2 linked regions of the Rhinolophus ferrumequinum genome follow. The protein of the gene in region 1 interacts with the protein of each later gene in a pairwise test. Links are inferred from orthologs where the notes say so. Each region holds a gene or a part of one and is shown on either strand. Other genes may lie near its edges. The genes, in order: FAM168A and OTUB2.

Evidence for each region.
Region 2: the proteins of FAM168A (region 1) and OTUB2 interact in binary tests that used the Homo sapiens proteins (3 or more experiments, as listed by UniProt). The two-hybrid records come from large-scale screens. The link is inferred for Rhinolophus ferrumequinum from reciprocal best matches to the Homo sapiens genes FAM168A and OTUB2.

The regions. Positions count from the first base shown.
Region 1 is NC_046294.1:48,815,704-48,823,500, forward strand, and holds the start of FAM168A (protein FAM168A), read right to left. Parts: upstream 3,074-7,797; 5' UTR 2,832-3,073; intron 1-2,831.
Region 2 is NC_046289.1:9,052,214-9,060,470, reverse strand, and holds the start of OTUB2 (ubiquitin thioesterase OTUB2), read left to right. Parts: upstream 1-5,049; 5' UTR 5,050-5,234; coding exon 5,235-5,237; intron 5,238-8,257. UniProt on the Homo sapiens protein: Hydrolase that can remove conjugated ubiquitin from proteins in vitro and may therefore play an important regulatory role at the level of protein turnover by preventing degradation.

The sequences.
Region 1 (7,797 bases):
TCAGGACCCCAGAGTAAAGTTATGAGGAGAAACGCTTGCATTAATTAGATTACACTCTCATCGAATTAGAGGTAACGACTTAAACCTGATTTTCATTCTAATACAGAAAGCTTCCTCTCACTTCCAAGGATAAGTCCAACCTTCCACCATTCTGCCCGTTTTGGGGGGGAAAAAATTCTGAATATTGGGTATTTTTATTTGCGCAACTGTGAAAGCCAAGGAAAATGGTGTTTGTGAGCTAAACTCTAAAGCTTAAACAAAAAGAATTATTTTGATCCTGCTGGTGCCGATTTTATCCTCTTTACATTCCTCCCCATTTTTTCCTCAGAGTTCTAATCAATAGCCACTTCGTTTAAGGTATCATACTTAACGCAATTCAGTCCAGAAAACTGCTTCGTCCATGCACACCCCGCTACCTCCCCATTCGGCCATGAGAATAAGTATATCATTAAGCTTTAAATAAAATTTCTAATAAATGGAGATATTGTTTCTGTAGTTAATGTAATGTGTCCTCTAAATGTAATGTAAGGCCATCCTCTAAAAAATAAAACAAAAATGATTCTATATGCTTTATCCACATTTGACCGAATTCTGACCACCTGAATTCAATTTATAGAAATATAGTCCGATTCTTTTAAATCTCATCAAGTAATGTCAGAAGAGAATCAAATGAAAAACTCCACCAATACCAAAACCATCTTACCAATGAATATTTATGATATTTCCATATTTCCTGTCTTCCCTCTGTTTACTTAAAGCGGTGGTGCCAAGATTCATCTCAGGATTGTTAGCCTGCAATACAATGATGGGCCTAATTGCCTTGCAAACCAGGACACCAATAAATGGAGCCTTCAAGCAATCAATTTTTAGAGGAGAAAAAAAAAGGCCCAAGCTCTTTCTGCATACATGCACGCTGCCTGACTAGAAGATGAATTCAGCTTTATATTTTTCAGTCTCATTCATCAGTTCTCAAGCAAGGAACGCTCCCTTTGCTACCTCAAGCTCATCAAATCTATTGAATTCTAAATTCCAGGACTAATTTTTAAATGCACCAAGGGGAAGGCAGAAAAGACGCAGAGACATCATATAGAAAGACATCTATCACATTCCAGTTTCATCTTCTCCACCTTTAGTTTGGGAGTGGGCTTTTCTCTCCAAACTTTGTTTTTATATCAATACAAGCATACCTCCTTTTATTGTGCTTTGCTTTGTTGCGCTATACGAATGTTGCAGATTTATACGAATGTTGCAGTTTTTACAAATCGAAGGCAAGACCCTCCACCAGCAAGAAGCACACAACTCACGTGATGGTAACACTCACTTTATTGTGATGGTCTGGACCCAAACCTGCAGTACCTCCAAGGTGTGTCTGTAACAGAAGACATGCTCCCCTCCTTCATTCTACCTTAACTGAAGCCTCTCTCAACTTTCCCCTTTGGGTTGATTTACTTCCAAATATAATACTAATATACATGCAACAAAAAGATGAAACTAACAGCTTACCACGTCCTCTGGGAGTCTTTCATGTACCTTCTCTGTCCCCTGCAAAGTCCCTGTGATTACTGTCTTCCCCCGACCACAGCCTCCAAAGCTGTCCATTTAAGTCCAGCCCTTCACCTGCTTCTGCCTGTTGAAGGCCATCCAAATCCTTCCCCTGCGTCTTCCCAGCATTGCTCCTGCCCCCTCCACAGCCTCCCTGCCCGTCCACACCAACCCGATGTCTCCCACTCCGTAAAGAACCCCTCTGCACCTCCCCATTAGCAACCATCTCGCCAGTCCTACCAGTTCTTCTCAGACATTCCTTCTCCAAAACTCCCTCTGCCACCTTGACCAGGGGACATTTTCTTCAAGACACCATCCCCCAACATTGCTCACCACCTGCCACTCTTCTTTCAGTGAATCGAGCTCAGCGGTGACTTCTGTGCCCTCTGCCTTAACCCTGCACCCAGAGAGCCACCAATGCCCCTTCCAGTGGTTCTAAGATCACCCGAAATCCCATCCTACTGTGCACCCCCCTCCGCCTTCCGCCCAATTTCAATCCTTGTCCGCCCATTTTGGGCCTAATTTCTAATTTACCCCGCTCCTGCCAGGTCACCATTACACTCCCCTCATTGAAAGTCCCACTCCCACCAGCTCCCCAGGAACACCCCAAATTCTACCTCCTCTGCTCTTCTAACCCACGCGATTCCGTAAGTCTCCACAAATTCCACCACCCTGAGATGGCAAACGCCTACTTCAAGCTCAGGTCTCAACCCACGCCAAGCCCCCCACCCCCAGCTTCCACCACCTCTATTAGCCTGCCCTAGGTCCACCCCCAGTTCCAACCTCCTGAATTAACAATCCCCCCCCCCCGCGCCAGGGTCCTATCCAACCCTGCAATCCCACTCTCTATTGAAATGATCTCCTTACCCCGCACCCCAGCTCGGATCCCAAACTGTCAACTGCTCCAGGCCAACCCCAAATCCACCACCCTCATTCAATCCCCTCCCCCATTAAAAGCCATCCCACTCCAGTCTCATCATCCAGCTCGCCCCTAAACCATCCCAAATTCCACCCCAGCCCCCCGAACCCACGTTCCTGTCCCAGGTCCGGTTATTCCCCATTAAAAGTCCCCTTCTCCTGTGGCCCCCCAACCTGCTCGGGTCCCACCCTCACCCCACCCCCAGCCCGCGCCTGGACAAGTCTCCCCTCCCAGCCTGCCATTCCATCGCGACCTCAACCCCCTTCCCCCAACCCGCGCTCACGCAGCCTCCACTCTCATTCTCCCCGGTACCACCGGCCCAGGCTCAGGGCGAGCGGACCAGGGGGCGGTGGGGGGGGGGTCTGCTCACCGGAGAGCCGCTGCAGGCGAAAACGGCGACGGCGGTGGCTGAGGTGGCGATGCCCTTGTCTTCTCTAGAGGGTACAGAGGCGACGCTCTCGCTCCCTCGCCCGTGTCCAGTAAGGTGGCGGATGGCGCGCAGGGACCGGGATCCTCCTCCTCCTCAGCGACTCGGCTCTGAATCCTCTGCAGTAGCCGCCGAGAAGCCCGACGGATGGGGGGAGGGGACGTTCGGCTGCGGGCGAGGGAGGAGGAGGCGAAGGGAAGGGGCGGGGGACCTATAAGGACGGGGAAGGAGGAGCCGGCGCAGCGCCGCGACACGTCCCACAGCCTCAGCTTGCCGGGACCACAACTCCCGGCATGCCCCGCTCCGACCCGCGCGCGGCCTGCGGCTCCTGCCGCGCGCCCAGTGCGGTGGGGCGGTGCCCTCCCCGGTCATGGACAATGGAATAAAGTCAACCATCCGCGGGCGGTTTTGTAGACTCAAAGACCACATGTGAAGGAAGTTAGGTCACCCACGCGGCTCCATTATCCCCAGGTAGCGATGTTCTCAGCATCTCCAACCTCTTTACCCGGGCGCGCGCACACAATGCCCCCCCCACCGCTACCGACGCTCGCTGGACTACATTTCCCAGCATGCCCCCAAAGTCTCCTGCCCTCCTTCCGGGCCCTTCTCAGGCCCGGTACTACAATTCCCAGGGACTGTGGTCCCTGCAATATGCTGGGAGATGCAGTTCTCAGTTCTGCCTCCATGTTAAGAAAAAGAAGTGAAGCAAAGGGAAAAGGGAAGGAATTTGCCAACCCACCGAAGAGAGGCCTAAATGAGCTACATCACCTGTGAGACTGTACTTTCTTCGCCATCCCAGTTACGACAGTCTCACGCTAGAACTAAGGCAGCAGCTTCCTCCTGGTCGTCCTGCAAATCTGAAGACGATTTGGCAACTTGAATCCAACTGTAAAAAGGGCATAATTCTTGACCCAGCTCTATTACTTTTAAGAATTCACCTTAAAAAGATAATCCGACAATTTGGAAAAGATGAATACAAGGTTGTTACATGAGGTTCTTGACTATAGAAGGAAAACACGTAAATGTCCATCACCGGGCTAATTCAATTATGTATATAAACAATGCAGTACTGAACAGCCATTTAAAATAATGATATAGATCTATTTACTGACATGAAAAGCTATTCACATTTTATTCTCAAAGGAAAAATATTGATTACAGAATAGCATGTTTAGAATGGTCCAACTCAGGTGAAATTTGAGATAATATTCTATAATCATAGATTTCAGGAAAGAGCTTCCCCAAAATATTATCAGTGATTATCTTGGAGGAAAGGGTTTCAAGTAATTTTTATTTTCATAGTGGCTGAATTGTTTAAAGGGAGCACATAATTTTTAAGCTATAAGACTAATTCCAAAAACACAATTTCCAAATCCAACAACCTCTCCTTGCTGCCTAAAAGCTTTCTATGGCTTCCTGTTGCCCTCAGTGAAGCTCCAGGACTCTGCCTGTCTGGCTTTTCTTGTGAGCTCAACAGTTCCACTATTAAAATAGTAGTGGTCAATTAAAATTCATAAAAGACCATTAAGTTAGAAGGGAGTATTTTTTGGATTTTCATTGTCTCTTCTCAAAGTTTTCCTTCTTCTGGTCTTTCCACACCCATTTCCTCCTGATCTCCCACTCATCTTGAAACTCAAGACAAAGTCCTGCCTTCCCTAGAACATATTTCAGGCACACTTTTTTCCTTATATCTGAATTCCTATAGCAGTGGTTTCTAATCTGTGGGCCAGAGATCTCTGTCGGGAGGCGAAGAGAGGAGGAAGGATCACAGTTAGGGTAAAGATCTGCAAAGCTCTACTTAAAGCCTTGTCTATAGACTGAATAAATGTCTTACACTTAAATTTTTTTTTTCCTTTCTGTGTCCAGCTCTCCTAGAATACGAAATATGGTATCAGATCTCTGATTTAGCATAAATCCTGTATTCAATTACAGTATTTTATATTTCATGTGTCTTTATTACTCTGTTTTGTGCAAGAAACATCAGAACATTTGAGATCCACTAGCCAGCCCACTGGAGAGCTGCAGGCCTATGGGAGAAAGTACAGGTGGCCTAGATTAGAGTTTAACAATCCTGCAGCAAATCCTTCAGTTTCACCCCACCTAAATCTGGTTACATTTCTATCCATGGTATTCACTTTCTCCAAATACATCAGGCACTTTTTCAAATTGCGTATCTAGTTTTTTTTCATCCTATTCTTCCAGGCTTAAAAATCCCACCTCCACCCCCAAAAAAATATCCTATTCCTCTGCTCTCTTCTCTGAGAATAGTAAGAAAAATACCCATGACATGTTGGCTATGTCCCTTCCCCTCTTAGTTGCACTGGCCATCCCCTTTCTAAACCCTCTTCACTCCTCCTCCTCCTTTCCCCTGCTCTCCTACTGGCAGAAAGTGGGGGCTGGGTGATCAAAATTAGAGGGGTCTGATCTGTTCTGCAAGTAAAGGATTATTTATTTGAGTTAGAGGAATAGATAGGAGGAAATTTACTGAACTAGGAATCTGGGAATCAGATCCTAAATGAGACCTTGCCATGAACATGCTGGGTGACCTTTAGTAAATCCCTTAGCTTTTCTGAACCTCAGTGTTTACATCTGCAAATAGAAGGAATGATTCCTGCTCTGTCACCTCATAAGGTTTTTAGAAGAATCCAATAAAACAACATGTATGAAAGTGTTTTGAAGATTGTAAAGTGCCACTTAGAGTCCAAACCCTTGATCTAATTTGAGAATTACCTCTCCAAAACCCTGCCATGCCTTGGCATGTAAACTCTTTACTCAAAATTATATCATTATTAATGAATTTATTGAACTATTTAAGGAATTAACTCCATTAAGCCAATTTAATTCCTTGATAATTTTCTATATAGCACCGTTAAACAATTTCTAACTTTTCTAGATTTTTTTCTATATTGAATTTTCATCAAGATATAATGCTTTCCTCTATCAACTTTACAAGAAAGATTTGATTCATCAGTTATCTTTATCAATTTTTACTGATTATAGTTTCAGCTGTTACAAAATTTCTAGTCATTATTTCCACCAAGTCCACCTTTTCCTGGGAGCAATTTGAGCCATTGTCAGTTTTATTTTGTGTTGATTAGTTCTACCAAGTGGAATTTTCCCAGGGGTCAACTTTGCAATGTTCAATGTTACCAACAAAGATGGAGTCATTCAGTTTGCTTTTCCATCCATAATAAAATTTTACCACGTGTAGTTTTAGCCATTGTCAATTTTATTTTATGTTGATTATTCCTACCATATCCAATTTTTTTCAGCAACTCAACTAAAACAAACTTACAGGGGAAATGACAGTGTCAAAACTCTATCCTTTGCCCGTTATTATCTGATTAACGAGGACTGTGAGATGGTTTTGTCCCAGCTATGTTAATGAGTTGGCTTTGAACTCTCTCAAACCATCTCTTTAGGAACCTTGGCACACGTGCAGGCTGGAGTATTACTTTAAGAATTGCTGTAGAATTGCAGGAAATGGACATTAGAGACCATGTTAGGAGAACCAATCTTTAATGAGCCAGGTGCTGTGCTGGTGTATAAGATCCATTATCTCACTTAATCGTCAGCCTCAATGTCCCTCACATGACCGTTTTATAGTAGAGGAAAGAGAGAGGAAGGCCAAGTTAGCATCAGAAACCAGACCGTTTTAATTCTCAGTGCAATTTGAATGATTCTAAGTTTCCAAAGTTATCTAATTCAATTTTTAAACTTTTGCAATAATCGTGCTGAAAATTATAATTTTTGAGTTTAAGATATGAAACAAAAAATCCATGTATGTAAACAAAGCATCTCAAAGAGCTTTTTGTGTAGCAAATGAGAAAAGGAGTGTAAAAATGTTTTGTAAATGACCCAACCCTGGGCAAATGAAGGTTACTGTCATTTGTGATGAAGGCTGTTATATAAAACCTGTTAATGCACTTGACAGAGTGCTAGAAAACTAATCACACACTACTAATTTTCCATCGTTGGGTATCAAATACCCATCGATATATTTCATTCTAATAGCCAATATTAAAGGAATCAGATTGCATCCTGCCCATCCTTTAAGACCTAAGTCAGGCATCTGGAAGCCTCCCCTGACCCTCGCTTAGGTTAGGAGCCCACTTAACTCCCACAGCCTGCTCACGCTGTCATGTTCATTGTCTATTTACTGCCCTCAAGGACAAGGACCAAGGTAACGTGGTTCATCTCTGGGGCCAGAGCTCAGTTCAGCCCAGACCTTCTCACAGCGTGAGGCCTCAGGAAGTGGTGATTGAATTAATTCATTAACATGACAAGTAGATAAACTATATCGATAATCAATTAAAATGACAAGGAAAATACCTCAATAAAGCTGAAAAAATTATAATGACAACGGAAAAGCTCATATTAAATAAAGTGAAGAGCAAAATTAATCACAAAATCTGCACAAACTGATTACAGTCACCTAAGCTCCTATAGCAGCAGCAATATGAGGAAAGAGCCTTGATGTCCTGGGTTCAAATCCCACCGCAGCCAGGACTGGGTGTTCTGTCAAGTCAATGCCTCTCCAGCACCTGTTTCCTTATCCATAAAATGGCTGACCTTGAACTCCCAAGGCAGATAAAAGAATTAATTAAGGTACCAGATATTTTTCATTTTAAGGAGCTGACAGAAGTGAGGGTTGTTACTAAAAAAGGTCAGAAGAGAATTGGAAGGGAAGTTTATGTTTAAGAGGATCCTTTACATAAATTATGCTGCTTAAGTTCATAAGCTTAAAAAAAAAAGCATACCACATATGGTGGGTTGAATTGTGTATCCCAAAAAGATCATTTTATTGTACTTCCCTTTATTGTGCTTCGCAGATGATGTGTTGTTTACAAATGGAATGCAAGACCCTCCACCAACAAAAAGATTACAACTCGCTTTATTGTGGCGGTTT
Region 2 (8,257 bases), on another chromosome or scaffold:
TTTAGCAGCTTAAAACAATGAACATGTGTTACCACCCCATCATTCCTGTGGGTTAGCAATCTGGGCGTGGCTTAGCCGGGTCCTCTGGCTTCAATCCAGCCATCGGCCAGGGCTGTGGTTTCATCTGAAGGCTCGACTGGTGGAGAATCAGCTGCCCAGCTCATCCACGTAGCTGTTGGCAGATGAAGCTCCTCACTGGCTTGTTGGCTGAGCACCACCCTCAATTCCTTGCCCTGTGGACCTCTCCATAGGACAGTGTGCAATGTGCCAAGTGAGAGAGAAGGGAGACAGAAGCAAGACAGAAGCCGCGGTCTTTGAGTAACCTAATCTCAAAACTGACATGCCATCACTTTGGTGTACTCTGTCACAAATAAGTCACTAGTTCCAGCTCACACTCAAGGGAAGGGGATTATTCCTGTGAACACAGGCAGTGGGATCGCTGGGGGCCAAGAGAAGCTGTGTGTCACAGAGATCATGTAACCTGCCCCAGGTCTGTAGCGGGACACCTTCCCGCCTCCTTCAGGGGGTGGGCTCCCTGCCTCACCTCAGGGAGACGAGGCCAGGGTGGAACAGGCATCTCTCTCCAAGCATAGGACTGCCTCCCTCCACACCCCCAACCATCCTCTGCTTTCTGTAAACCGCACCCAGTGTTTTCTCCTTTTGTGGCAGGAAGAGTGTTCCCTGCCCAGCCCAGGAGCCTGCGTGGGTACAAGCATTTGCTATCTGAACTGAGAAATGTTAGCTCTCAAGCCCAGGACTGGGGGGCCCCACAAATGGGCAGTTGGCTGGGAAATGTACCCATCTATTACCCTTCTGGGGCGGTGGGTCGTGTTTACACTGAAAAGCGAGCAGCGACATGGTATAACTGAGCTTTGTCAAATGATTTCTCTTCCAGATTTTTTGTCTCACATTTGAAAAGCCCAAACAGCCTGACACGCCACTGGCTCCCCAGGGACCCTCTCGGAGGGTACAAGAAATATGACCTTCTTTTTGCTGTTTCCCACTCACATGAACTCTCAGTGTGTGTCGCATCTCTCTGGGCGGGTGCAAAATTAAATCTCAATCATCTGGGCTCTCCCTTCCCGTCCTCCCCTCACCCTGCTGGGGTTTGTGATCCTGGGCAGCTGATCAGGGCAGGGGACTGGAGGTGACTTCCTCACTAGCTTGGAAGGTGAGTGAGGGCCACGGTTTTTGTCCGTTTTGTCACTAATGTGCATAGTCAGTGCCCGTCACGCAGCAGAGGTGCAGCAAACCTTTGTTGAGAGTTGAATGAATTGAATTTTGGCATGTCGCTCGCTACACCATTCACCCAAACATACAAGAGGGCTTGAAAGGAGGGACAAAAGAGTCACCGCCAGTCAGGCCAGGGGGCTGAGTTCCCTCGGCCAGTACAGGCCCTTTTTCTCAGGGTCCAACAGGTGACCTGCGAGTGAGGAGGGGCTCTGGGAGTTACCCCTGTTCTGGGACGCCTGCATTCCCCCTTGCCCCAATTCCAGAAAGTGCTCCCTATTTAGGCATACCCATCTCCCCGTCCTCCACTCCCCCGAGTCCCAATGTTCATCCTGGAAAGATTTTCTCCTCAAAAAGAAAATCGTCTTTCTCAACCTTGCCCCTGGGGGTGGGAGCCAGGGCAGCCCACAGCCTCCAGGGCTGGCCCACTGCTGCTGTGCTCCCTGGAGTGGGGCTGGGGGAGGTAAAAGGGGCTCACTCTAGCTCTGATTCTTTCTGACCTTCCCCAGCAGTGAAACAACACATGAACTTGTATCTTAATGAGTTTTGCAGGTCAAGGTTGCAGACTCTGACGTGTGTGTGTGTGTGTGTGTGTGTGTGTGTGTGTGTGTGTGTGTGTGTATGGATGGGGAGGGTGCAGTGTGGACGTGCTGTACAGAGGAAAAGGAGGTCAAGCCGTTTGCAACCTGGGGTCTGGTCCTCCTGCAGAGCACCCTGCCTGCAGCTCGCCAGGCAGGGAAAGTCAAGCGCACAAAAGAGCACAATGTAAAGAGCACCAGGAACATGGGCCTGCACTAAAGGAGCTTCTGCCAACATGGGTGCGGCTGCCTGACATCCCTCCATCAGAAGCTCAGTTTATTGATCCAGGAAGGAAGCAGATGACATCCATCCTGGTATGCAGACGCAAACCTCCTTGGGGCTCCTCCTGTCACGTGCAAACCCCTACCTGTCCCCTTTAGGCTTATTCACACAAGGATGCACAAGAGTCAGGCCCCGATAACCACCCTGCAAAGCCCACATATATTGGGCACTTACTGGATACCAAGTACAGTGTCAAGTGCTCTTCATGGTCATCTCATTTAGTCTTCCCCATTGCCCTCTGAGATAGGTATGAATACCCCCATTTTACAGTCGAGGAAACTGAGGCTCAGAGAGGTCTGTTTTGCTCAAGGGGCTATGCCATGGGAATCATGACATGAATATACCTGATGCCATTACCCATACTTGTAATTACCCTGTCCTACTGCTCCCTCCAAATCACAGCCAGAAGGGATCAGGGCCAGAGAAGAACAGATATGGTATGGTGGAGATTCAGAAGAATTCATCACCAGCTTGGCAATCTGGGAAGGCTTCATGGAGGAGGAGCCAGAATTTGAAAGATGGGTGGGATCTGACAAGTGGAGCCTGTGAAATGGGTGTTCCAGGACGAGCAAGGGCTCAGAGGTGGGAAAGTATGCGGAAGGTTCTGGCACTTGAATCCATCCTCTGAAGCTTCTGTCCTGGCCATGGGGGGAAGAGAGGAAGATAGGGGATGAGAAAGGTAAACTGGGGCCACATTGTAGAGAATGAGGTGGGGTCACCTTCTCAGAAAAGTCAGCCCATGAGTCACATGGGCCACAGGCCCAGCCCCAGGTGCTGGGGGTGTCCTTTTGCTGTGAGTCCTTTGTTAGAGGATAAAACCGTCTTCTCTGAATCTATGAGGCCATAGCAGCCAGCCCCGACCGCTCCACCCAGACACCTGGACACCAGGTAGAAGGGGTACAGGGAAAGGAGAGTCCATTTATTTTGGACAGAACATGTTAACCCCCAGTCACAGGGAGGCCCCTAAAAGATCTGCTCACTTTTTCAATTCAGACCCAGCTTGACAACTGGCTGGACTCTTTGTAAACCTTTTTTTCTCTTCTAACCAGGCTTTAGAGAGCTCAGGAAGAAGCCTGATTAATTACAGACTAAAGAGATAACACTTTTCCCAGCTTATTCGAACTACAGTTGAGGAAAGATTCCATTACACATATACTGAGATTCTGGCTAAGACTGTGTTTTGTTTAAAAGCTTCACTACTAAAAATAATTTTCAAATATCTTCTTTTTTAATTTCCCAGATTGTTCAACCCTCTCACTGAGTGAGGAATCAGAGGCCCAGAGAGGGTCTAGTAGTCACTTGAGGCCACACAGCAGTGAGTGGCAGAGTCTAGCCAGCCTGGGGCCCAGAGTTGCTGCAAATCCAGCCCAGCACTGCGTCCACAGGGCAACGCTTGCTTGGTTTGGAGCTGCTGTGTCCAGAACGAGCGCTCCTAGAAGTCTCAGCTCACTCAGGGTCCTCCTCCTGGGGACCCCAAATGCCTCATATGTGGGCTTGACCAGGGCTCAACCTGAGACCACACCCCACACAATGTCCCCCAGGACCTCCTCTCCTCTCCCTGGCAGATCCCTTGCCTGCACCCCATGGGGCCGCACCTGACTCAGTCATTCTTCCACCAAGTGCAGACTAACACAGCCTGGAATGAGCACTGAATGAGGAGTCAGAAGTCCAGGGATCCAGCCCTGCTGGGTTCTGTCCTAGCTGAGCAGCACTGAGAGCTGCTCCTGTCACCTCTCTGGCTTCCTTGGCTGTAAAAAACAAAGAGCGGAAACTCCCCCAAAGAAAATAGGGGCAAGGGGAGTACATGCACCCTCCACCTCACCCTCCACAGTTGCGTACGTGGTTCCTCAGCAGAATGAATTCAAAATCAGCTCTGGAGTCAGGCTGCCTGGGATTGACTCCCGCTGAGTGCTGTGTGAATTTGGCCAAGTTCCTTAACTTCCCTGTGCCTCAGTTTCCTCATCTGTAAAATAGGGATAATAGGAACTACCCCCATAAACTAGTTTTGAGAAAACTAAGAAAGGTAATATAGGTTGAGAGTTTAGGACAGTGCCTGATACACAGTAGGTGCTCAATAAAAACCAGCTATTATTGTTATTGCTCTTGAGCCTGGATTGACCCCACACTCCCCACCTAATAAAAAAGCTCATTTGGAAGACACAGGTGTCTGTCTGCCCAAGAACCTAGCCTTGTGCCTGGGGCAGGGGAGTGAGTGGGGTGGGAATTGCTGAATACCCGCTCGTGGAAGTATTACTACTTGTAAAATGGGTGCATGCAACGCACTGCAGCCCCCTGCCCCACAAACCTTTCGTCCCCACCAGTGTCCCTCCTCCAGGGATCAAGGGCTGGTGAACGAATCTTTGAGTGATACATATTCCTCTGTTTGATGTTTAGTAATAACAAGCTTGTATGCTAGGTGAGTCACCAAACCTGGGTCATGGTCTGTGTCTCCATACGTAGCCATACAATTCCAGAGGCCCAGAATCAACAATCCTGGAAATTCATTCATTCAACAAACATTAATTGGATGCCTGGCAACCTACTGATTCATGAGTTGAAAGAGGGTAAAATATTACTTAGAAGCTACACAAGGCCAGGCAGTTATTGTTATTGGACACGTGTTCCGTAAGTGCCTGTCCTCTGATCTTGAGCAAATTATACTTATAAGACCTTGTTTATGAATTAATGTGGGCCAGCTAATCTTTAATAAGACCTCAATTTGCAGTTTTGGTCAAAAGTCCTTCAGCCTTTACAAATGAAGACCTCTCTTTCTGGGTTGGGCTAACTACTTCGCGAGTTAAAAGCTTTCTATGTCTTTAAAAGGGGGCGGTACCCTATCAAATAAACCCTAAAGCATAGGCTGAAGGTGTGTGAAGTCCCACCCACTTTCTGTGACGTCCTGCATCCCGGCTTCTGATTGCCCGTCTCAGACGTCAATCGCGGTGTGTGTGTCTTGCTGGAACACAGTGGAGGTCTCGCCTCTGGTTTGCGGAGCGGTCGGGTGTATTCTCCGCTCGCCCCCACGCCCTCGAGGCCCCCGCCGCCCGACCCAACGGCGCAACCAGCCAGTGGCTCCCGCGGCGCCCTCCCGCACCGGATCGCTCCTCGCTGGGGCGGGACCTGGCCCGACAGCTCCGATCACTATGGTCAGTGGTCGTGGGGGGAGGCGGGGAAAGGGGAGCGGGAGAGGGAGGTGCGGTAGGCGGGGTCGCCGCCGTGGCGCTTGTGCACTCGCGGGACCGGGGTCGAACTCGAGGCTCAGCTTCCAGGTCTGGACCCGCGGCGTCCGGACCCCGGGAATACTGAGTCCGGACGGATGCTGGGGCCCGCGTTCTTCCTCGGAAGGCCCTGCAGGGCCTGGAACGCGCCCCGCCACCCACCATGGATGCCCAGCCAAGGGGACCCAGCCGGGCCCCCAGGCCTCCCGCCCCCAGCGCATTCATCCCAGGTGTCCCGAGGGTGACGCCGTGATGGCTCAAGGTAGGCGCTCTCGACTGAAATCAGGACAGGGAGGCTCCAGGGCTAAGGGTCGTCCACAATTTGTTAAATAGCCCCCCAGTCCGCAGCTCACGGCCTCACCCATCCGACGGCTCAGCTATCAGAGACCCCCATCCCAAGCTCCATGAATGGACTTAAAGGTGCACGCGTGGCCGGAACACTGAACATTCTCTGTCCTGCACATCAACACAAGGTTTGGAGTTAGCACCTACATGGAGAGGCTGCCTCAAGTTGAGAGGCACGTGGATTAGGAGTTCAGGCAAAGCAGAGACCAGAGGAACCCCTGATTCAGTCCTGTCTGAGCAGACAGGTCCCCAGAGACCCTCTGAGCCAGGCCAAATGCGGGGATTGGGCAGGTGGGGAAACTGAGGCCAAAACAGGAACGAGGCTGGGACTGATTGTGATGAACATGGACCTTGAACCCAAACCTCTGGACTCACAGTCCAGTGCTCTTGGTGTTACATCAGTGCACCTTCTGGGTTTGGGGGAGGAGGGGTCAGGCAATCTGGAGAGGACTGGCTGTGATGACTGCCTGAAACCTTTCAACCCTGAGCCCCCTGTTCTAGGCATCCTGTAGAGTGTAAGGGTTGATGGCCTTTATGGTGGCTTGGGGTCACACAGCCCGAGTTCAAATCTCTACACCACCCCTTCGGGCTTTGGTTGGTCTGTTCTCCCGAGCACTATTTTGCTCATCTGTACAATGGGCTGCTGTGAGGACCACGTGAGGTGATGCAGCTTTTCCTGTGACGACAGAGTCCTGGGAATAGGTGTGCACAGCTGCCCGGTTGTTTGTGCTTTGCTTCCTCCCTCCATGTCTGGGCAGGGAAATGGGTCACCACTGCCGGATGCTGCAGGACAGAGGCCTGGGTCAAAGCTTGGTCATAGCCAGATACGTTCTGAATGCGGGAGGGGCAGCTGGGTCACCTGAGTAGGCCTGTCCTGTACAAACCAGCTTGCTGCTGGGGTGTGGCTGAGGTCTCTGGGGCATCTGGAAGCACCAGCTTCCTGCTTCTACCCAGTGCCCAAGGGTTTACCCGGCTCTGCTGCTCCTGGAAGGGGGCCCAGGTGTTTCTGCATCACCCCCTAGGGAGTGGCAGGAGATGGGGTAATAATGGGTTTAGCCACCCTGAATCGTGAAGCTGCCATGCCTTCTGGTCACCACTGGAGAGCCGAGAGCAAACAGGGGCAGTGGGGCTGGGACCTCAACTTTTGGCCTTTGTCCTGCACAGTGAGGCCTCTGACCCTGCCCTCCAGTCTGCCATGGACTCACGGGACCAGAAGCTAGATGGCAGATGGGGTCAAAAGCACCAAGCCCTCACCCGGCGTCGGCAGTCTTGGGTGCCTTGGAGAGGGATGAAGTGGTTTATCCACTAAGTAGGACGTCACCCTGGGAATCCTGGGAGGCAAAGGCTCTGCAGGGTCTGTTCTCTTTCATTCACCCCAGCATTTATGGAGCACCTGCTGTTTGCCAGGCACCACATGGGCCCTGGGCTGCATGGTGTGGATGGTGGTGAGTGTGTGTTGTGGGCAGAGGAAAACGTCCTTGGAAAACACAGTCTTCTTTCCTTTCTCATTGCAGTCACTGGGCTAGGCGTGAGGAAAAGTCAGGTAGAAGACACAGCACCCTGTGGGAAGGACAAGGTCCCGGCCTGTGGCTGCCAGTGGCAGGGGCTGTAGGTGGTGAGGTTTTCATGTTCACTCCAAGTGCATTTAATGTTGGGGGAATGGATGAGTGTCAGGCATGAACAGATAACCACAGAGCCCTTCTGTGCTTTGTTTTTATTTGTCCAACCAGCCTCCGTTAGGTATTCTAGTCAGGCCCCACGCTGGACACTTATGAGAAAGACCTGGGGAGCCCTTTCTTAGGAGCTAAATGCCTGTTGGTCAAGCCATAGCTGGCCATAAGCAATTCCTGAGCTACTGACCGTGGCTATAGAGGTCTGACCAAGGGTTTGGGGAGCACAGCGGGTACCATTGCATTCTGGGACGGGGGGTGTTAGGAAGGATTCATAGAGGAGGACTTTGGAACTGGGTGTTGAAGGATGTATCCTTCAGGGAGGAGTAGGGGAATACATGCCAGGCAGGGTGGGGCCAGCTCTCTTAAAGGCCTGGAAATATGGTTCAGAATGGGATACTCTGGGACAGGAGAGGTGGTCTGTGTGGGTACAGGGAGCTCCCAGGAGGGAAGGGAGTTGAGTCTGGAAAAGTCGGTGGGGTCAGAAGGTGCTGTAAAGGGCTTTGCCAGCTGCACTGTGGGTTTGGGTTTAGTCTGCTGATGGGGAGAACCGTACAATGTTTTTGACAAGAGGTGATTGACTTGGACGGTCTCTCTGGCGATGCAGTGGACACGGGCCTGGAGTGGCCAGGCTGGAGCCTGAGACCGGCTCATCCATTTGCTCAGTGATCACTCACATGTATTTGTGGAACATTAGTGTGTGGTCGTCACTGGGGATCTGGTCATGACAGGCAGGCAAAGTCCTTGCCCTTATAGCGGTGACATTCTGGGGCACGGACACAGACAGTGTGCAAGTAAATGAGTGAACCTACAGAACGCCCTGAAGAAATAAAACCAGGCAATAGGGTCGAGGGAAGGACACCTTGAGACAGTGGTCAGGGAAGGCTTTCCGAGGAGGTGACGTCACCTGCGACGTGAAGAGGCCGAGGGGCA